Linked DNA regions of Arabidopsis thaliana. The protein of the gene in region 3 interacts with the protein of the main gene of each other region in a pairwise test. Each region holds a gene or a part of one and is shown on either strand. Other genes may lie near its edges.

Region 1 (6,085 bases), on a different chromosome or scaffold from region 3:
TAATATCACTGAACTCCTGTCCCTTGAACTATATGAAAGACCAAATCACGATTAGTCGATTACCATGAGACAACATGCATCATTTGTTTTCAAATCTATGCAAAACATATAAAAAGAAACACACACACACAAAATACACTATATATATATCCCATGACAAACATTGATAGAATCTAATCAAAACATGATGCATGATCTAAATCACATTGTAAAAACACATATCATATCGGATAGCAACACTATCAGGATCTAAATCACATTGAGATCAGACGCAATGAAATCAAATACCTGAGGGAAGTTGGCGCTCTGAGCCCAAACGCTACCGTCATGACCAACGATAGCGGCAGCAGTAAGGTGGTGTCCTTGACCATCGCCAACATCACACATCAAATGCTCATCAACGTAAGTTTGCCACGACATCTTCTTCTTCTTTTCTTATTTTTTTTCTTCTTCTTTGTTTATGATCTATACGTTAAGTGCCCCGGTTATGTGCAGCGTGGGGACTTCGTCCTTCAGATAAATAGGAGAGGAAGGAACAAGGATCATTTTAAAACCGTTGGATCACATAGACGAATTCTCAGCCCTACATCTTACTTTTTCTTCAAAAAAACAAGGAGTGATTTTCAATTAGTGCCGCTCAAGTTTCGCCTTTGTTATAGCTCAATCATTGTTTCGCTATTTGCCACGTCTACTTTCTTCCCTTTTCCTATTTCCCCTATTTATAAACGATCACCAACGGCATTTTAGAGGAAGGACCGAAGGAATGATTATTTACTCGTTAGTCGTAATCTTGTTAGCCAATAATAATATTATGTCCTAAAAAATTCAAACTTGTTACGACCAAACTCTTTGGTCACGAATTTAATAACTTATCTAGATAGATATTCAAACTCGTTACGTCCAAATTCTTATGTCACAAATTTCATTTGATTATATTCATAGTGGCTATAGTTTATCGAATTCAATTTAGTAAGGAGATGATTGCTAGACAAAAACAAAAACATAGAAACATGAACCACATTTTGAAAAGAACATTGTATTAAAACCTCAAAGATTCTTCCTACAGAGTCATATATTCAAAAACTGTACTGTTCGAAAACACAAAGCTACCTGGGATTAGTTAGTGGCATTGTTTGAAAAAGATTTGATATGATGAAAACAAAGAAACTCGAGAAGATTTCTATTTCAGTCGGTGAGACGATATGATCGACCTCTGAATGCTGTGTTTGAACTCTCGGGTGGGGCACGAGCGCTTGAATAAGCTCCTCCTCCTCCTACTCCTCCTCCAGCTCCGGGTCCTGCTGCTCCTACACCACCTGCTTGTCGAACACTTGCAACTGGAGCTCCAATTCGCCATCTTGCTACGATTTTATTACTGTTGAGAATGTCAAGGTACAACAGCAAAACAAAAACTGAGAAGCGAGAGAAACAATCATCTGGAAATAATCGAGAATTTGAATAAAGGATACACCCATTTTGGGGTTTTCAGGTAGTTTTTTCCGGTAGCAAGAGGATGAAGGACTGTTAGGAAGTAGTATAGATGTCCAGCTATGATGCCAAGAAGATCTGGCATGATCGGAGAACCGAAGATAACATCAAGTGCTAGCATTGCCCATGGGAGGTAGAAAGCCTGTGGAGTAATTCCAACTTTCACCATTAACATTATATATACCAAGGAGTGGATTTGATTACAAAAGAAACACTTTCAATACCTTAAGAGTGACAAGACCGTATAGGCTGATGTTGGCATTTGGAAATTCTCGGCTCCAGAGATAAAGAAGCATGAACACAAGTGAAACACCAAGAAACGGTGTCCAGAAAAATGGTATGACTGATAATACCTGAAATTTGAACAAGGTAACTGTTTTAACACACGGATTTACTAGTATGAATACCTTCCAAAATTTTGTCTCGCTTTAATAAAATGCAACCCTGATTCAATTCTTTGAGAGCTTCTGATCTTCTCAGCTTTGGGATATTATGTACCAGCGATTATCTACTTTGTGGCATACCACATACTAGTACTGGGGTTCTCAAAGAACCAATAACAATGATCAGTAAGAATAGAATACAGGGGAGGCTTTACATACCAATAGAGTGAAGGATCCAAAGATCATCATCCACAAAAAGTCTGCTGTCCGCCTTTCAAATGGCCCTTTCTCGAGTTGAACTCCATATCTTGCTCTGCACAATCATTTAAAAGAGTATGTTAAGATAATAAAAATCGAAATTAGCTTTGTTCATCTATATATGTGAAAATAGTATGCTCACATCATCAAAAGACGTATTCCAAAATTGATAGAGAAACCACCGAGGAAAAACAAGTTTGTTATCAGCCTCCAGATCTACAAACACCAAATAGATCAAAAATTGCAGAATGAATTAGGAACTTAGGATGACAGAGATTTGTGAGAAAGAAAGGAAAATCATAAAAAAGAATAAATCATATACCTGGAACTGCTTAAGTACAAGTTCAGGAATTAAAGCAATGTGAACGGGAGCAACTAAGCCAAGCTGCGTGGCTACTGTAGTGAAAAAGCACAACGTACCATAAGCCTTGGTTATAGGTGGAAGTGAGTTATAGAATCTGCAATCAATAACAAGCGATCTAAGAAACAATTTGACAGATAAACAATCAAAATCATACATATTCCATCCATCTATAAATTTCTAATCAGGAAATGTCATCAAGATCAGCTAAAGCATAAAACTTTACCACAAGAGACAAGCCTACGCAGAGATATTTTAGACTATCGTAGCTAGGAGAATCAAAGTAGCCTTGTAACTATGATACAGCAAACGAGAACAGTTTTGCTTCAAGACACTATGAGATTCCATATTTCAAGAACTAACTACCAGTTGACTTGTACTAACTTCCATGGCATAAAAGATGTTTCTTTACATCTCAAATCACCAAAATATCAAATGATGACAATGCAAATTGATAACTATATACTAAAAATAGCGTTAGCTCAAGTTCACAGAACTCGCTTGGTGTTGCAAAATTACGCTCGAATTGAGAAGAATCAACAGTTGAATGCTTCAAAAACCCCTATACAAGCTAAACGAATCATGAAAATTATTAACCTAAGGACTCAAAATCCTGGGTACGAAGACCAAGCTAAGAATCTCTCGATCAAAATCGAATCGAAGCAAAGTTTCAATAGAGGGGAACGGAACTCACTCGCCAGGAGAAGACATGTTCGTCGATTTTCGAAGATCCGAGGTTCTGAGTCCGATTCAAGATTCGAGATCCGATATAAGCTTTGAGAGCACCGCAAAACAGAAGCTCGAAAGTTCCAGAATTTTTTTTCCTTCTAATCATCTGAAAACTCAAATCACTTGTTTTTGTTAGGCAGCTGCGTAAGTTATCCAATCATACCTTGCCACGTCGTGTTAATTCACCGTCTTGAATACGTGGCACGTTTTAATTTGTAATCGTGTTTAAACTTGTGGGATCAATTTCTCTTCTTTCTGATGCGTCTCTACTCTCTAGTAGTCTGTCTCTATGATGATCCCCAGTTGGCCAGTTTATTGAATTGGGCCAAAGAGGCTTTTATTTGACCCATTAATAGATCAGGCTCGAATTAGATATGTTTATAAATGTTTTTTTCTTTGCCAAAAAAAATAATGTAAGAATATGAACCCTAACAAATTAACAAGAAAAGACAATGCAAAGGGAATCTAATCTCAAGGAATATCAAAATTAGAGAAACATTAGCATTAAAGCAATGATCTTTCGCAAGTATGGTCGGAACCAAAGATCCGAGATTTATTATTAGTTTCAATAATAATGTGTTTTTAAGGTAATTAAACAGAAAATCAAGATTATTTAACCTGGATTAGGTACGGGAGAGGGTCCATGTGCATGTGACGGGTCCCAACCAGATAATCTTGACCCGATTCGATCTCACTCCTTGTCTGCTGACTCATCCTTACGTCATTCCACACAATGCTTTGTTATTTGTTATTTTGTTGGTTTTGCGTGGAACTGCAAGGTAAATTGATCAATAATAATAATGTATTTTCTAATTATAATCTGCTAAAAATAATATTGTAATTTCTCATTAACTGTAAACAATTTTAGTATTAAAAGAATTTTACAATGAATTTCAAAACTGATTTGATGTTGTCCTATGTAGTTTTAAACAAATAGTAGTAGACGTTCTTTTCATAACTTAGAAAGATTATTGTGATATTGAGCAATATCGATCTTCAATGTTTATATTTGAATAAGAATCTCAAGATTTAAAAATAATTTCTTAAACACAATCAATAGGGTTGGTACATAAACAATTACAAGTTTTTTAACAGTAAAAACCGTTTATACCGTTATGTTCTTGTACTGCTTTATTTTATTTTTACCTCACAATAGAACGAGATATCTCTTCTCGTTACAAATCACACCTAGCTAATACAACATAATACCTATTGTTGAATACAAATATTAAGATACGATACGGAGACAATATCTGAACTATAATTAAGTTGATAAGCATTTTTGGCACCACATTACGAGATATGCCAATATGCCACTTGGTTTCTTTTGGAGTATATGCGAAATATAAGTTTGATCAAAGAGTAGTGTTAGTGCTTAGGTGGTTAACATATGTTTGATAAAAAATGTGACATGGTATAGATCATGTGAGTTGTTAGATACGTTATAAGATTTCATTTCATGACCTTATATAACTTATTAAATATTAGTTCGTTGTAATGTTCCTAAGTTAGAGCTTTTTATTGGTCGTTACGTTGGAGGCTACGTAAGTGGGTTTCATGCATAGTCACGCGAAAACAGCTTTTGGACGGCTAAATACCCCTTCTAATTATATGATTGATTAAAAAACATGTATAATCTACACAGTTAACAGTTTACTAACTATACTTTTTTACATTATCGTTGAGAAAATGAATAAGATTAAAGGGTCCCTAGATTAAATGTGAGTGGAAAAGAAAAGAAAAAAGGTTTTGGTTCTTTTGGATTGTTTGACCTATCGATAGAGACATCGCAATGGAACTTGCCAATGGCGAGAGAGGAACATGCAAATTTCATTACATTGTGATAAGTTAAATCCCGGAAAAGGAGGGAGGAGAGAAAACGACATATTTGCAACCAAAAGAAAAAAGTGATAGAAAGATGCGTTTAAAAAAGCAAACAAACTAAAATCATTTATGAACAAGGAAAACAAGAGACCGAGCTTGTCAAATGGCAAAAATGGTGGACCTATCCATGTTTCAGTAATTCGCATGTTTAATGTCGGGAAACTAGTTTTTCGTTTTTTTCTCCCATTGTTTTGTGATAGAAATGACAAATTTAATACTCACAAATTTAAAACCACCCACATATTTAGCTAAACTCACAACTGATAAATGTGATTCTTAGTATTTGAATCGAAAAAGAGTGGTAAGGTAAGTTCAATACTTCCCCACCAAAAAAAATATAACATTAGAAAAATCTAGTTGATCAATAGTGTTAACATGCAAATTCCGTATGTATATGATAAATAGCAAACTATATTTTTCGTGATTTAAATAACTCTGGATGCAAATGGCCGAACATTGTTTTTCAAAACCAAATTGGAATCAGTGGGTTGAACGAATCCGACCAATATCCATATCAAAACTGATTCTGAATAAATCGGACCTAGTGCCTAGTATAGTAGCTTGGCCCTAGCGCATAGCTAGTAAATTGATTGTTCGAGGTTTTGTTTTCATTTGCGAGAAGAGTATTATTACTTACATGCATTGGTTATTTTGTTTCCTTCATTTTTTATCTCTTTTTTTGTCAAAGCCATAGATGCATTGAATATTCATCAGGAAAAAAAGAAAAAATTAGCAACTTGGGCAAATGTCTTCTTAAAACATTAATGTATTACCAAATGCGAAATAGAAGAGAAACTTGTTACGTCCTTTCATAGACATTAAAAAATAGAGAGACATATCTATTTCAAGATCTTTGCACGTGATCGAGATGTTTTTATTGTTTTTGGCTAACATATATCCAAGTTAGAGCAGAAGATATCAAAAGAATATTATGGATGGCAATGAATCATTTTCAGTGAAGCAAATAGTACGTTCCTTAAAT
Region 2 (5,707 bases), on a different chromosome or scaffold from region 3:
AAGCAGATGTGATTTGAGACATACTAAATCAAGAAACTATTCCAGTGCAACCATGAACTAAAGAGCATACCAGCAGAACAGTTAAGTAGGAATCCATCAGATAGAGATATAAAGAACAAAGTAACTAAAAATTGTTCGAGTTCTCCTTTTCTATCTTCTAGAAGGATCTTAATTGTAGGAAATAGAATGTTTCAGATTAAGCATACTACCGAAAAAATCCGGAGTTTGAATTGCAGCAATAGTTCTGAAATTTGAATGAAATATGTATAACTTACATAAGCACGCCGTTTCTGATATAAAGCTTCATATGCTCGATGCATTGTCTGGAAACAGATATAACCAGCATTAAGAATTCCATTGGACCTTGCACAGCCTGAGAGAGCAAACCAAAGAACGCCTACATTGCTGGTACCAGATAACAAGTGATACACTCCTCCAATAGAGAAAAGAGCATACAAACTTTCTGAATATCTGAAAGTCACAAAGAAACAGTTTGGTCTTCAGTTAGTTACCATTCTGATAAGACTGAACATATTTACTTTCAGCAAATGAACTTAAGAGATCATTGGCTTAAACACATTACATTGACGAATAAAATATGGACGCCGGATTGAAACAGAAGATAATCGAAGCTCTGAATGATGCTTCAGTATCCTTCAAGATAATAACTGAAACCCTGTTAGCAACGACTGGTGTAAGACACGGTGAATAGCAAACAGCATTAGCTTGTAGAGCTCAAAAGACTCTTGACTTGACTTATTTCTAGACACAATAATCGATTTAGGATGAATGTCAAAGAAGTACCTAAATAGATAGATAGCAGCAAATATGAACGCCAAGTTACTAACAGTGAAACCAGACAACACCATCACAGCTCGAAGACCAATCAATGGAACCAAAGGCGCAAAAACTGAATCCAAAAAGAATCAGTTACTACCGGAATGATACAACCAAAGTAAGGAATCAAGTGGGTAGATGTCTAAATTACAAAACCTGTGCGAGAGAGAAGCGAGATGAAGAAAGGAAGCAGAGGCAAGAAGGCGTAAGTCTGCTCATACTCATAGCCACACTCTGTGATTCGGAGAAAATAAACACTGTCCCAGACAACACTGTTCTCAAGGGATCTCGAAGCTGCATTGGCTACTAGAAACGGAAAAGAATCTTCTTTGTGATACAAGCAAGGAGGATTCAGTGCAGCGGATGTATCGTACGGTTGGAGTAAGCTCCGCCACAAAATGGTTAAGAAGAGAACGAGAAGTCGCGAGAAGATGGCGTATTTGATCAAGATGGTTTCTTTCCTTGATTTCGAGTTTGATTCCAAAGCTTTCGCCATTGATCACGAGCTCGTATTCGAGTATAAAAAGGCGACAGATGGTTCTCGATTGCAAGAGTCCGGTGACGATTTGTGATTTTCGATCTTCTCGTCGGAGAAGAATGTGTTACTCTCTAAATGTAAAAGAGAGTTTCAATTTAATAAATGAACCGGTCGGTTCAATAAAAGGGAAAGTCACCGGTTTTAGAAAATTGTTCCGGTATTATCCGGGTCATTAAGACGCTTTGATCGGTTCAATCCAGTTTTAAAAACGCTAAGATGAATGTAGCGTTTGTGAAGCTAATTAAACGAGCCACGTCATCAAGACATGTCAACAAAACGCGTCATAAGCCCAATCACGTGAGGGCTGGTAATTGGTAATCGCAAAACGTAGATCGCCATAAATTAAATTTCGAACAGACAAAAAAAGAAAAGAAAATCAATAAATAATCATTTAGTCCCTTTGTTTGATAAACCCTTTAATTGAAAAAAAAAACAAATTACTTCTCTTTCCTTCGATCATCGTCTTCCTCTGGTTCTCAGATCTTTGAATCGAGCAGAAGCAATTTTAAATCTCCTATCAGGTTTCTCTAAATCCATGCTCAAGTCTAATTTTACGTTTTACATTTGTTCAATTTTGTATGAGATTTGCTTCCGTTTGGGATCGGAACTTTGAGAACGTTCTGAAGATATTACTTTACTGTGTAGCTCTTGAATCAATTTTTCCGTTTGATGTCTTGTATTGATGTTGTTATTAGATCGTTAATTTTCTTTCCGTAGATGATGAATGTGGATTATGCTGAAATTCGTTATAAACTTTGGATTTGATGGTGGTGAATTGTCACAATGTAGAAAACGAAAGCTTTTGATTATAGAATTTTCTTTGAGGTTGATGTTCTCTGCTATATTTGAATCTCACGTTTGAATAGTTCGTCTTGTTCAATATCTGAATGCAAATAGAGATAAGCTATTTCGAACACTCATTGTTGAAAAATCAAAATAATTCATCTTCTTAGAGTATTGTGTGTTCTTACAGAACCCAAGTTTTAAGCATCTGTGTTTCAATTACCTGGCTTACATGTTCTGTCTTGATGATAAATATTGGTTTTGTGATTTTAGTGAGTTGCAGGATTCATATTCTTGTTTTGAAATTTGTGATAATTGCAGTGAATTTTTATTACTGGAGAAGTAATAAGGCAAAGATGGTGAAAATGACATTGATAGCTCGTGTTACTGATGGGTTACCTCTAGCTGAGGGGCTCGATGATGGACGTGACTTACCGGATTCAGATATGTATAAACAACAGGTCAAAGCTTTGTTTAAGAATCTGTCCAGAGGTCAAAATGACGCTTCAAGAATGTCCGTTGAAACTGGCCCCTATGTTTTCCAGTATCCTTAACCTCTGGTTTTTTCTTCATTCCTTATTAGTTCAGTTTCTGCTGCAAAAGTTTGTTGATTGATAGATATAATAAGGATTGTAGAAAGTTTACTTTGATTTACTTAAGATTCACACTTTTGACATCCTTGTACATTTTTACCAGTTTTTGGCTTAGTACACGTTTCAATCCTCTTGCATTATGTTTGAAATCTACGTTGTCATATTAGTATGCTTGTATCTCAAAGCTAAAGTTTAAGAAAGACCAGATATGTATGCTTCCTTGACCAGAAAACTTTAGTTACATCATAGAAGGACGTGTTTGCTACTTGACAATGTGTGACCGCTCTTACCCAAAGAAACTCGCTTTCCAATACCTGGAAGATCTCAAGAATGAATTTGAACGTGTCAATGGGCCTAACATTGAAACAGCTGCTCGGCCTTATGCCTTTATTAAATTTGGTATGTGTAGTGTAGATTTTTCTGTACATTCAGTATCTTGGAAACATACCTCTCTGGATTCACTCTTTTTCCACTTTGCCTTTTTTTGTAGATACATTCATACAGAAAACCAAGAAACTGTACCAAGACACTCGTACGCAACGAAACATCGCCAAGTTGAATGATGAACTCTATGAGGTTCATCAAATAATGACCCGGAATGTGCAAGAAGTCTTAGGTGTTGGTGAAAAGCTGGACCGTAAGTCAACATCCATTACTTCTCCTATGATCATTATTTAAGCTTTTAGAATAAGGAGAAATGGAACACTAGTTTTGCGTTTGTTATAATCAGCTGAGCAATATGCTTATCATTTGCCATTTTCTCTTCTTGTTTTTTCTTAATGCAGAGGTGAGCGAGATGTCGAGCCGGTTAACATCTGAATCTCGTATATATGCTGATAAGGCTAAAGATTTGAACCGTCAGGTGAGTTTGATTGTATATTACCTTATATTACACATTGCAACATTGATCACACGGCTATGAGATGCTCTCATTCCTTGTGAGCTTGACATATTGTAGCTTAGATAGTTAACATATGGTTATGAAACATTGAATTTGGTTGACCAGGCTTTGATCCGAAAATGGGCACCAGTCGCAATTGTGTTCGGTGTAGTCTTCCTCCTTTTCTGGGTCAAGAACAAGCTATGGTAAAAAAAAAAGGAGGAATCTAAGGCTATTTTCGTAATTTAGCGGACTTCTCCAGACATATGTCGACCTCCCCTACCGGACTCAAGTCTCAGATTCCGGCACCCAAAATATCTTCTTTCTTTCAAAGAGAAACTTTGACACATTTTGTACTTCTGTAGTATGCAAACTTTATGAGACTGGTCATAGTATCATCCATTATACTCTTTTCAAACCTTCATTGTCATTTTCTCAGGCTTCTTTTAAATTGAATTAGAACCACAATTAAAGTAAAACGGATTGGGTTTGATTTCATACATATATCTAACAAAATCTGAAGAGTTTACACAGGCTATTTTAGCGTCTATGTGACCTCAAATGTCTCTTAAAATCTTGTGGACCAGCCAAATCTAATGAGGAAGTGTTCTTCAACTCATCTGAAAGCTGCAATGCACTCTGAAAATCTCCTGACTTCTTCAGACAATCGATTAAAGCTCGGTAGACATAAACCGATGGTCGAATCTGTCTCTGCTTCATCTCATCGAAAAGCCTCAACGATTCCTTAACGTTCCCAGATCGACCCAAACTGTCTATCACCGCTGTATAACTTAGCAAATCTGGTTCAATTCCACATTGAACCATTTCATTGTATATCACCAAACACATATCGAATCTACAAGCTTTCCTCATCCCGTTTAACACCGTGTTGTAAGTAATGATGTTTACAGATACACTACAATCTTCCTTCATCGTTGACAAAACCCCCAGAATCTCATTCACAAGGCCAGCTCGTCCCAAGATATCCAAAACCGAGTTATATGTGATCACATCTGGTTTACATTCCCACTCTTTCATCTCCTTAAGTATCATAAGAACCTTATCGATCTGTCTAGTTTCAGCAAATGCAAAGATGATTCTGTTCATTACTATTAACCTATACGGAAGTGAAGACTCTGATATCTCTTTAAGCAGACTCGTCAAATACGTGCAATCATCCGTGTTAATGAATGCTCTAGCAAGGTTGAGATAACAATCTGAACTCAATGGTTCCTTACCCGGCAAGATCAAGACCTCTCTGAAGACTCTACAAGAAAGCTTCATATCGTTCAGCTCACCCGCCGCTGCAAGAAGGTTCTTGAAAACCGAAATAGGCAAACATATGTTCTTTTCTTGTAAAGACTGTAACAAGTCATATGCTCCAGAGAGATTTCCATCTCTTGTAAACTTCTCAACAAGATTCGTATAATCGATTTTGCTGATGATCTTTGAACCACTTTCACTATGGTTAACGATCTTCTTCAAGAGTTCTTCCTCGTCTTCTTCTCCAGTGTTTATCAAAGAGTGCATACCAGAGAACGAGCAGCTCCAGCTCAAATCAGCTGGAACTAACATCATATGTTTCTGCAATGCCAATAAACAGAAAACCAAATCATCAATTTGCAGAATCACCATCAATCATCAACTTCCACATATAACTATGAACAATGTAAATCTATAAAAATGGATTTCTCAGTTTTCGAGATGACTACAAAAAAACTCACACATTTAATCAGAAAACTTCGTAATCAAACACTAGCTGAAGCGTGAAAGCCCCGAAACTAAAAAACGATCAAACTCAGAAGAACAGCAATGGTTCGAAATTTCGCATCTTCATCGAATCAAACATTGATAGAAGAAACTCGCTGAGCAGTAACAATCAGAAAACAACAACGAGAGCATAACATGAATCACGAAAACGGTTCTGGATTTTTGGAATTCATACCATAGAAATGAAGGAACCTCCATAGACGGGGATTCTCTTAACGATCGACCACTTCATCATCTTCCTCGGTAATCTATCTCCTCTCTGCTTGTGACATTTTTCAGATTTTTGATTTCTGAGGGAATTAGTTT
Region 3 (6,061 bases):
ACTTGGTAAAGTTCTCCTTGTAATTCAAACTACCATTTAATAAGAGGTCTAATAGTAAGATAATACTAATAATAGTTAAATATCTATGAATATTGATTAAATACATGGAAAATATTCAATGCTCTCATAAGGTAATGCAAGATTTTCAAAGTGGAGTTACTAAATATGTATATATATGCAAAAACAAAAGTTTACTAAAAATATACATATATGATGATGAGGTTCAATAACAACTTTCTCCACATTCATTACTATAAATACATAAAGAAATACAATCTTCTTCTTATATACACAAACATAGATTACAATCACTCAAAACATTTCACACAAAAAAAAAGAAATGGGTAGGAGAAAGATTAAGATGGAGAAAGTGCAAGACACAAACACGAAGCAAGTTACCTTCTCAAAACGTAGGCTGGGTTTGTTCAAGAAAGCGAGCGAGCTTGCGACTCTGTGCAACGCGGAGGTTGGTATTGTTGTCTTTTCTCCAGGAAACAAACCGTATTCCTTCGGGAAACCGAATTTTGATGTGATTGCAGAACGGTTTAAGAATGAATTCGAAGAAGAAGAAGAAGGAGATAGCTGTGAAACATCAGGCTATAGTAGAGGCAATAGAGCTAGACAGGAGAAGAAGATATGTAAACGCCTCAACTCGATTACTGAAGAAGCTGAAGCTGAGAAGAAACATGGTGAAGATCTTCACAAGTGGCTTGAATCTGCTGAACAGGATAAGTTCAATAAGCCCATTGAGGAGCTTACGCTTGAGGAACTCAAGGAATTTGAGGCTAAGATTAAGAAAATAAGCTGTGGGATCCAAAGTAACATTAGTCATATGCAGGCTTCGTCTTCTCTCATGTTTCTCTCTAATGATAATTAGCAGTTATGCAAATGAGAAGGCAACAGTAACAACACCGATTTGGAACTTTCATTTTGTATTAGTCGTTATAGATTTATATGGTAGAGATGTAGCAGATGGTTGGTACAGGTTTATTGATTGTATCTTCCTCTTGATGATCGATGGTTTGTAACTTTCGGTTGCCAAATATTACTATGAAGATTTTCTCTTTTCAAAAACAATGAATTATAACAATATCTCCTACTCTACAAAATTGATAATGATTACGATATGAAATTTTAAAGCGTTATTTGTTTTTTTTTCTCTTATATTATTATAGATTTTGTCTACACACTCTAGATATTTATCTTTAATTAGAAAAAAATACATAAGAGTACACCAACTAATTAACATATTTATAAATGTGTTTTTAACATTTTTAAGTTTTAGTCAAAATAGTATCAAAATACATAATTTGATGTATGTCCTATATATCTTATTCCAAATTATTAAATATTACCTAAAACAAAAATACAGTATTTTTGTAATTGTATTCTATGAATAATTTAAGAATTCCTTAAGAATTGTTTAAGAATTATTTTAGAGTTTTTAAAAGAAATCTTGTAGAGATTTTTAAGAATTCTTAAAGGATTTGTTTCTGGTTTTTCAGATTGTTCTCCATATCTTCTCATATAAATTTTAAAAGACCTCTCTTTTTCTCTAATAGTTTTATGGTACTTAACGGGTATAATACAGAAGTTTTTCTATCATAACAGGATAAAATTCTCTAAAATCAGTTCATGTATTTGCTCAAGTATCAGAAGCATAATTAAACAAAGATTCTATTTCCTCGAGAAAAATCAAATAAAATTACAAAACAACAAGAAACTGTAAAATAGAAAGAAAGAAAAAACCTCAAAAGAGGATTTATACAAAAGAGCGAGTATGAAGAAGGATTTGGCGTGAGCCTCATTTACAGAGGAAGCAAGGAAGAGAAATTTTCATTTCATGTCTCTAGTTTCAGTACAACACCAGTGATCCCTATTGGCGATTTCGGTTGGAAATGCTCATCCGTATCCACTTCTTCGATCTCCTGTAATAATATGATTTAATCTTTTAACACATGAAACTATTAAACAAACCATTCAAGCTGATAGACTGTGCTTAGTTGGATCAAACCTGTACTACATCCTCTCCCTTAAGGACTCTTCCAAACACTATAAGTTGATCATTCAGATCCGGGATTGGGGCCGTTGTGATCAGAAGCTCAAAATCCTTGTTGTTCCCTTTGTTTTTTGGTGTTCCCAACATGAATGCCTCATGTTTTGGGCTGTAACAGAACATATGTAGTTTTTTATTTTTTAAAACCAGCGAGAGATGATAAACATTGACACTTAAAAGCCAAAAGCAGAGCAAGCAAGTTATACCCAATGTGAAGGCGACCTCTGAGCTTTCCTTTAGCTGTCCATTCTTCTACAGGTATAGAGCTCGGTGAGTGACCAGCTTGTACCAAGTAGTTCTTTATAACCCGCTGAAACGGCATTCCCTTGAAGTGATCTTTTTGACTGCAACAATACTCAATGTTCAACTTCTACTATTATATTAAGCTACAATATCGTCACAGACTGATTCAGCCCATTTCTCTTTAATGAGGTTTCATGTTCCAAACAAAAATTCCAAGAAGAGTACAAGAGGACTTAAGGATCAAAATCAGTCAATCAAGAAACTAAAGCTACTTGAATCCTATCAAGCTAGAAGTAATACTCCTATTTAAGAACAAGTCATGACCTAGCTTAATCAAATTACTCTACTGTTCTTTTTCTATCTAACTTAAAGGAAAACAAACGAATTCCAATACTAACCATAGATCTAGAAACTTGTCCACAACTTCAGGGGAACCTTCTTTGAAGAGTTCGACAGTTATAAGTCCTTTTGATGTGTTTATATCCTACATGAGATAGGAAAATAGAAGCAAGATATCATTAAAATCAATATTCAGATAAGACACATCACATTTTTTTTACTTCAAAAACTGATGAACAGAACATAATACCATGATGAGAAATAAGAACAAGGATTAAAACAAGAAACTTAAGCAAGCAAACAGGGAGATTAACTTACAGCAAAACCAGGAAGATCGTAAGTTTTTTGCCCTGACGCAGTATTAGTGTCCTGAAGCAGAAACCAAAGCCAGATCACATATGGTAAATACCCTAAACTCTAAACCTAAGTGCTCGGAAGTTCATCAGGATCAAAACTCAAAAGCTATACATTAAAAAATCTCTCAAGAAAATACCTCAAATCTCTGACTCCGAGTTTCATGTTCAATTGTGTTTCTTGACCTAGGAGATATAACCAATGATATCCTTTTTAGTTTATAGATAATCACATAAAGTAAAAGGAGAATCTACTATAACAGAAGTAATGAAAAAGGAACAATTCAAAGATGAAAACAAACCTTTGGGACCAATGGCGATAGGTTGTGACCAACGATAATATGACTACAGCAACTACAAGATTACAGACAATAATAGTGGAAATACTTATGCGACTTGGACCCTTCTTCTTCTTGCTTTGATTTAGAAGAGCCTGCGGTTTTATCTTCGCCATTGCACCTTAGTTTCGCAGAAAGCAAACGAGGGATACAACTTGTCTCTGCAAACCATAAATCAACAGTAAGTGACAAGCAATCCAGAAAACAAGTATACACTACACAAAAACTCCAAATTCGTATCTGTAAGACTATAATTCAATTTCAAGTTGGTAAAATCAAAACTGCAATAAGATTAAGTTGTTACCCAACTGAAGAAACCCTGATATCACGTATTGACCAGATTAAAAATCTAGCATATTTGAATGAATAAACGCATGTGAAAATATCACAAGGGTTCATACATAGCTTGACCGGTAACTTCCGATACACCAGATCCAGTACTTTTCCAATTATCGATCAAATTGAAATAAATTGAACAAAAGTGGATATGAGAAACGGAGCAGCTTATCATGTTCCAATCAAATAATAAACAGATCTTTCTTTCTATAGAAATCCAAAGACCTGAAAGTAAAATCAAATGAATTCCAAGGACTTTGATTGCTTCATTGGGTTCTCGAAAAACGTACCTGGAAGTTAGAGAGAAGAGAGGAATCGTGGAGATTGGTCGTTGCGTCGATGGAAACTGGTTTGAATTCTCTGCTCTCTTTTCTCTTTTGCAGAGACGCTTCAGATCAGCCGCGTGTTTATCCGACGGCTACGAGTCCACCTCACCAATATCCGACGAATATTATTCCACAAACAAAAATACAAAAGTTGATCATTTTTGAAAAATCGTATAGTTCGGTCTGGTTTTCTCATGAAATTATCTGGTTATCTATTTGACCCAAGAAAATGATTCTAAATTCAAAAGAAAGTAATTTTACTATGGTCTAGTGGTTATCACGTTAATCATACGGTTTCCGCCCTAATTGTCACTGGTTTGATCCTTCGCTGCATCATTTGATTTTGCATTACACATACTAAACTGTAAATATAAATAAGCATTGGTAAAAAAGTCAAATTTTCTACGTAAACACTTACAAAAGGGAAAAAAAAAATGCACAAGCAAGATCACTTAAAAAAACCCAGGTCACAGTCAATTGTTCGGTTTTGTGATTTTCTTAGCCACTTTTTAATTGATCGGTTTAGATATAGCCTACCATCAATAAACCGTTATTGTGTTAACCTGAAACAAGCCATCCAATATGATCTTTTTAACTTGCACACCATCTCCTCTTTCTAACTGGCCTCTGTTGATTAGTAACATCGGCTTTAGCTCTCAGTTCAGTTTGAGATTTGAATGTCGCTTCTACCGCCAATTTGGTTCCCTTGAACCTCTCCCTCCGTTTCTCCATCTTTTTCAGACTCTCTTGTATACGTTCATTGTCTATTTCAACACCTTTCACTTCTTCTATTATCTCGCCTTCTTCTTTGTCATTTATATCTCGATTCTGCATAGCTTTCTCTTCGCTTTTGCCCATTAACTTTCTTGGTTTCTGAACATCTTGTTGCTCGATTGTATCTCCGCCATTGGAGAATCTTTTTTTTGATTGGTTAGAGACCTGAAACACACACACAAAATATCTATCACATGAGAAGGGTCTTGTTCTTCATTGTACACTAACTGATGTCTAAATATACGGATGTGAGCAACATAAAACCTAAGTATAGAAGACAGACCATATAAAGTGATAAAACAGTCAGAAATAACACAAAGAAAATCCAGGGATATAAATAACTGAAAGGCGTTTATACTTCATTCAAATATAGGTTTAAAAGCATGTAGATTTAGTTTCCCAATCTTTACCTTTCCTTGCCTACCAGCTAAGTCAACATGATCCTGACGCTTGATGAAAGCATGCCCATCTCCTCTCAGCTTCTTGGATCTGTGATGTCTTTCATCATTTTCATGAATATGGCTCTGTAAATATCCAAACCTTTGTTTGGTCGCCATCCGATTATGTGTCGGTACTCTTATGTCGCGGACAAATATCTCATCAGTATATGATGGATGCTCAGAATTAGAAACTTCTCTCATTGAACATTGCATGTCATCTGCCATATTATATCTTCCTCTATCAGGACCAACCCAATCAGCATCATACTGTAGTCTATCTTTTACGCTCACATTATGGCTACGACCAAGATTCTGCGTCCAGCCATCTCTCGGTGCAGCCTTATGAAAATGGTTATTCTGGCTGTCATATGCTTCAGGTGTTCTGAAGTCTCTGGTATCATCTCTCCGGAAATCACCTTTTGCTTCTTTGGTATACCAAGAATCTCTCAAAGATAAAGACGGTGAGGACCAACCATCTTGGATTCTATACTTATAACCATCTTCCTCTGAGACAAATCTATCAAGATGCCAATCATGAATGTAATGATGTCTTTTCTCTATTTCAGAGAATTCCTCATGTCTTTTATACCCTTGATATTCTCTCATTTCCACTTCAGCAAAAGAACGCATCTCCCTGTACGCCAGCTCAAATGGAATTCTACTTTCTACCCTGTGAACTCCATCTTCATATCTATCACGATGCAAATTATAATCGTATCCACCCCTTCTTCTGCAATAAAGATCATTCTCTGGACTGTGCTTGAGGTTGTGTATTGCATGTGCAGACGAGTTCTCTGACCGGTACCTATAATCCATGTCAGTAATCGGTATACAGTCCTCATAATAAGGTTCTCTT
Region 4 (4,507 bases), on a different chromosome or scaffold from region 3:
AGGAGGAGGAGTAGGAGTTTAGACAATGTGCTTCAGAACTCATCCCCTGATTATTTACCTTTCGAGTTCAGGGCTCTTGAAGTTGCACTTGAAGCTGCTTGTACCTTCCTTGATTCCCAGGTCAGTGATTGATTCACAACTTATTGTTATTTAGTATGCTCAGCATTGAGAATAGATTTTCCCTTTGTAGGCTTCAGAGTTAGAGATTGAGGCATACCCATTATTGGATGAGCTTACCTCAAAGATCAGTACTCTAAACTTGGAGCGTGCTCGTAGACTAAAGAGCAGACTTGTAGCATTGACGAGACGAGTTCAGAAGGTTCGGGATGAGATTGAACAGCTAATGGACGATGATGGGGATATGGCAGAAATGTATCTAACAGAGAAGAAGAAGAGAATGGAAGGATCTTTATATGGTGATCAATCTTTACCTGTTTATCGAACAAATGATTGTTTTTCTCTGTCTGCGCCAGTTTCTCCTGTTTCTTCTCCTCCTGAGTCCCGTAGACTTGAGAAAAGCTTGAGCATTGTAAGGAGCCGGCATGACAGTGCTAGGAGCTCAGAAGACGCAACCGAGAATATAGAGGAGCTAGAGATGTTGCTGGAAGCATACTTTGTTGTCATTGACAGCACTCTCAACAAGCTAACCTCGGTAACTAAAAACCTCGCCTTTGTGATCATTCATCATCTTGTTTTAACAGCTTTTAAAAGCGGTTTAATCACCTGCAACTCTCTTTACTCTTCAGTTAAAGGAGTACATCGATGATACCGAAGATTTCATCAACATTCAATTGGTATACCTTGAAATCTTGATCTTTTTTAGATATCTTATTTGCTTAGAAAACCTTAAGAATCTGCTGAAAATTTCTGGAATTTGCAGGATAACGTACGGAATCAGCTGATCCAATTCGAGCTGCTGCTAACTACTGCCACATTCGTTGTAGCCATCTTCGGGGTTGTAGCCGGGATCTTTGGGATGAATTTTGAGATAGACTTCTTTGAAAAGCCTGGTGCTTTCAAATGGGTTTTAGCCATTACTGGAGTGTGTGGCCTTGTTGTATTTTTGGCATTCCTCTGGTACTACAAACGTAGAAGACTCATGCCTCTGTGAAGACATAACTACCCTGACACGTAGACGATTGTTTTACTGTTTATGTTGCTTAAATCTATACATTAATCGCCTGTGACCTTTACAAGATAAAACCCCGTGTATTTTTTTTTTGGGTTACTGAAAGATTATTAAGCAAACCATACCAGACTCATCTTGATCTTTCACTTTATGGATTGTCCTAGTCGAAACTCACAGCTCACACAACAGTATCGTAAAGGATGAATCCTTTAACTTATCGCAAATTTACATATCTTCGATAAAGAAACCTAAGTGTAGAGTGTAAAGATACATATCTGAACTGAACCACACTCTAGAACAGACATGGCTGAGTTTATAGACATGGAAACGATGATGTATGGATCCATTCACAAAATGTAGTTGACTAGAGTCTCCATCCAAGTGGGGGGAGATGACTACTTATCCGAGGATGAAGATGATGAGAGACGAGCTTTTCGAGCTTTATCAGCTTTTTCCAAGTAATCTTGGTGAGAACGATGCTTTGATCCTGAAACAAACCAGATTTACCAAACAACAAAAGCCAATAAGAGAAACAATTAGCCTATATAATGAACAAAACAAGGAGAATATTACCAAATGTCACATATAGCAAATAAGATATTTAACCATTGAGATTATGCAATTGAATCGATGTGTGATCATCAGGGGAAAAAGCAAACAAACTTGGTAAAAAATGTGATCATGCAAGTCTATTATGATCCAAACAGAATAAACATTGTGACTCATCATTATCATATAATCAAACTCTATTTGATCGACCACTTGATTGCATTTGCCAAGAAATATAAAGTTAGAAACTTTAGATTCTAAATCTTTCAGCTATTGATATCATCATCCTCTTCCATTTCGGAATCTACAGAGAAACATCTATTTATATATTTCAATCTAAATCGCCCAGAGAAAACGAACCTTGATTCATTAGATACCAAGGGATTCCGAAGATGATGGAGATAATCCCGATCCCAGCCAAAACGTGCTTCTTCTCCCCACTGTAGACATAGTGCTCCATCTTTGCCCTAATTCCTCCTCCTCCCAAATTGCTCTTGCTCTCATTTCCCATCTCGATCTCCACAGGTTTTGCTTCTTCTTCTTCTTCTTCTTCTTCTTCTTCTTCTTCTTCTTCTTCTTCTAGGGTTTATCAGGAATTAGATCCCTCTCTCTCTCGGATCTTTTAAAGAAATCTAAAATGGGCCCTATTTAGGCCCATTCATATTAGTGTTACTTTGTTTATTACCATATTAGACCCCATATTATCTATATATTCGTTTTTGACCCCATTAACTTCATATCCTCATCCCATTAAGACCATGTTTGAAATGTATTAATTTAAGCCTTCTCACTCACTCGCTATGGCCGCGATCGTTGCCATTGGTAGGAAACTCGCGCGAACGCCACAATGGCGGATTGTTCAGCATCAATCTCTGCTACGTCGTGCAGTGTCGACGTCGTTTTCGAGCTCAGTTTCCCAAAATCATTCCTTCTCTTCAGCATTTCATCGAGCAGGTCATGTGCATTCTCAAGTTTTAAGCTATCTCCCACATTTTGCCTCTTCTAATCGCTTCTCCACCAAAACCATCTCCGAAACATTTGATATCAACTTAACAGCATTGGCTCCGTTAGAAAAGGGTCTGATTGATTTAATCAGACAGGTCTCTGAGCTGGAGTCAGAGGCGGATGCCATGGCTTCTCTGGAGGACTCATCATTTGATCTAAATCATGATTCTTTCTACTCCTTAATCTGGGAATTAAGAGATGAATGGAGGCTTGCCTTTCTAGCATTCAAATGGGGAGAGAAACGCGGCTGTGATGATCAGAAATCTTGTGATTTGATGATCTGGGTGTTGGGTAATCATCAAAAGTTCAACATTGCTTGGTGTTTGATCCGTGATATGTTTAATGTTTCAAAGGATACTAGAAAGGCCATGTTTCTCATGATGGACAGGTTCGGTTTCGTCTTCTTGATAAAAGTTTCTCTTTTGTTGTGCTAAATTGAAAGATTTACTAGCTAGGTATTGAATTGGTTGTCTTGGTGACGGTGTTGATGTAGATATGCTGCTGCTAATGATACTAGCCAAGCTATTCGGACATTTGATATTATGGATAAGTTTAAACACACTCCTTATGATGAAGCATTTCAAGGATTGCTATGTGCATTGTGTAGACATGGCCACATTGAAAAAGCTGAAGAGTTCATGCTTGCAAGCAAAAAGCTCTTTCCGGTGGATGTTGAGGGATTCAACGTAATTCTTAATGGTTGGTGTAACATTTGGACTGATGTGACTGAAGCAAAGAGGATTTGGCGAGAGATGGGGAATTACTGTATCACGCCTAACAAGGACTCTTACAGTCACATGATCTCTTGCTTCTCTAAAGTTGGGAACCTTTTTGATTCTCTCAGGCTATACGATGAAATGAAGAAACGGGGATTGGCTCCAGGGATTGAAGTTTACAATTCCTTGGTTTATGTGTTGACCCGTGAGGATTGCTTTGATGAAGCTATGAAGCTTATGAAAAAGTTGAACGAGGAAGGATTAAAGCCAGATTCAGTGACCTACAACTCGATGATACGCCCCCTTTGTGAGGCTGGAAAGCTGGACGTAGCCAGGAATGTATTGGCAACCATGATTAGTGAGAACCTTAGTCCAACAGTTGATACATTTCATGCATTCCTTGAGGCTGTAAATTTCGAGAAAACTTTAGAGGTTTTAGGCCAAATGAAGATCTCTGATTTAGGTCCTACAGAAGAGACCTTTCTTCTTATTCTTGGAAAATTGTTCAAGGGAAAGCAACCAGAAAATGCTTTGAAGATCTGGGCAGAAATGGATCGTTTTGAGATAGTGGCTAATCCTGCTCTTTACTTGGCTACAATACAGGGCCTTTTGTCATGTGGGTGGCTTGAAAAGGCCAGAGAGATCTATTCAGAGATGAAATCAAAGGGGTTCGTAGGAAATCCTATGCTCCAGAAACTTCTTGAGGAGCAAAAGGTGAAGGGGGTCAGAAAAAGCAAGAGGATGAATCTTCAAAAAGTTGGTTCTCAGGAAGGCTACAAGGGTCAACGATCAGTAGACAGAAAATAATCAGATAGGGGTAAGACTTGAAGTTTCTCATCAAACGATCACTGAAATAATGACTCAATTCTCAAACCTCACGGTCTCCACTCTTTCACTACATCCGCCGTGCAGTTTTCCAGGTAATCTTTTCGTCAGTTTACTAGATTTGCTGATCGCTACCTTTGCATATTCCTAATATCAATGAATCTGCAAAACTAATCATTTGCAGCCATGCTGATTCAGGAATCTCTCTCCGGATTACATGATAGACGTTAAAAACTAGTGTGATTCTTGATTGTTACACGTCCACGCATCGCTGCACGTTCAA

What was found.
Region 1: the proteins of AT3G66654 (region 3) and DER1 interact in a protein complementation assay, tested with the Arabidopsis thaliana proteins (one large-scale study listed by BioGRID).
Region 2: the proteins of AT3G66654 (region 3) and SEC22 interact in a protein complementation assay, tested with the Arabidopsis thaliana proteins (one large-scale study listed by BioGRID).
Region 4: the proteins of AT3G66654 (region 3) and AT1G80890 interact in a protein complementation assay, tested with the Arabidopsis thaliana proteins (one large-scale study listed by BioGRID).

The regions. Positions count from the first base shown.
Region 1 is NC_003075.7:14,442,053-14,448,137, reverse strand, and holds DER1 (DERLIN-1), read right to left. Parts: upstream 3,586-6,085; 5' UTR 3,202-3,585; coding exon 3,185-3,201; intron 2,588-3,184; coding exon 2,452-2,587; intron 2,346-2,451; coding exon 2,272-2,345; intron 2,185-2,271; coding exon 2,091-2,184; intron 1,842-2,090; coding exon 1,713-1,841; intron 1,631-1,712; coding exon 1,470-1,630; coding exon of another isoform or gene 1,433-1,469; exon of another isoform or gene 1,376-1,432; coding exon 1,186-1,375; 3' UTR 901-1,185; downstream 1-900. Other genes in the region: PRF4 (profilin 4), read right to left, coding at 1-28, 289-420. UniProt on the Arabidopsis thaliana protein: May be involved in the degradation process of specific misfolded endoplasmic reticulum (ER) luminal proteins.
Region 2 is NC_003070.9:4,008,995-4,014,701, forward strand, and holds SEC22 (Synaptobrevin family protein), read left to right. Parts: upstream 1-1,762; 5' UTR 1,763-1,896; intron 1,897-2,065; exon of another isoform or gene 2,066-2,479; 5' UTR 2,480-2,514; coding exon 2,515-2,702; intron 2,703-2,989; coding exon 2,990-3,150; intron 3,151-3,241; coding exon 3,242-3,388; intron 3,389-3,536; coding exon 3,537-3,613; intron 3,614-3,757; coding exon 3,758-3,841; 3' UTR 3,842-4,110; downstream 4,111-5,707. Other genes in the region: AT1G11880 (transferases, transferring hexosyl groups), read right to left, coding at 276-471, 584-676, 805-910, 994-1,333; AT1G11900 (Tetratricopeptide repeat (TPR)-like superfamily protein), read right to left, coding at 4,172-5,215, 5,577-5,636. UniProt on the Arabidopsis thaliana protein: V-SNARE involved in vesicle trafficking from the ER to the Golgi complex and required for early secretion. Involved in endoplasmic reticulum (ER) biogenesis and functions as well as for Golgi-stack integrity. Essential for gametophytes development.
Region 3 is NC_003074.8:2,086,078-2,092,138, reverse strand, and holds AT3G66654 (Cyclophilin-like peptidyl-prolyl cis-trans isomerase family protein), read right to left. Parts: upstream 4,224-6,061; 5' UTR 3,956-4,223; exon of another isoform or gene 3,491-3,955; 5' UTR 3,446-3,490; coding exon 3,294-3,445; intron 3,178-3,293; coding exon 3,132-3,177; intron 3,008-3,131; coding exon 2,957-3,007; intron 2,784-2,956; coding exon 2,698-2,783; intron 2,401-2,697; coding exon 2,263-2,400; intron 2,166-2,262; coding exon 2,015-2,165; intron 1,929-2,014; coding exon 1,842-1,928; 3' UTR 1,598-1,841; downstream 1-1,597. Other genes in the region: AGL91 (AGAMOUS-like 91), read left to right, coding at 341-877; AT3G66652 (fip1 motif-containing protein), read right to left, coding at 4,583-4,930, 5,176-6,061. UniProt on the Arabidopsis thaliana protein: PPIases accelerate the folding of proteins. It catalyzes the cis-trans isomerization of proline imidic peptide bonds in oligopeptides.
Region 4 is NC_003070.9:30,394,893-30,399,399, reverse strand, and holds AT1G80890 (GAG1At protein), read right to left. Parts: upstream 2,273-4,507; 5' UTR 2,190-2,272; coding exon 2,039-2,189; exon of another isoform or gene 1,617-2,038; coding exon 1,525-1,616; 3' UTR 1,190-1,524; downstream 1-1,189. Other genes in the region: MGT1 (magnesium transporter 1), read left to right, coding at 1-120, 191-652, 747-794, 881-1,111; AT1G80880 (Tetratricopeptide repeat (TPR)-like superfamily protein), read left to right, coding at 2,479-3,071, 3,177-4,206.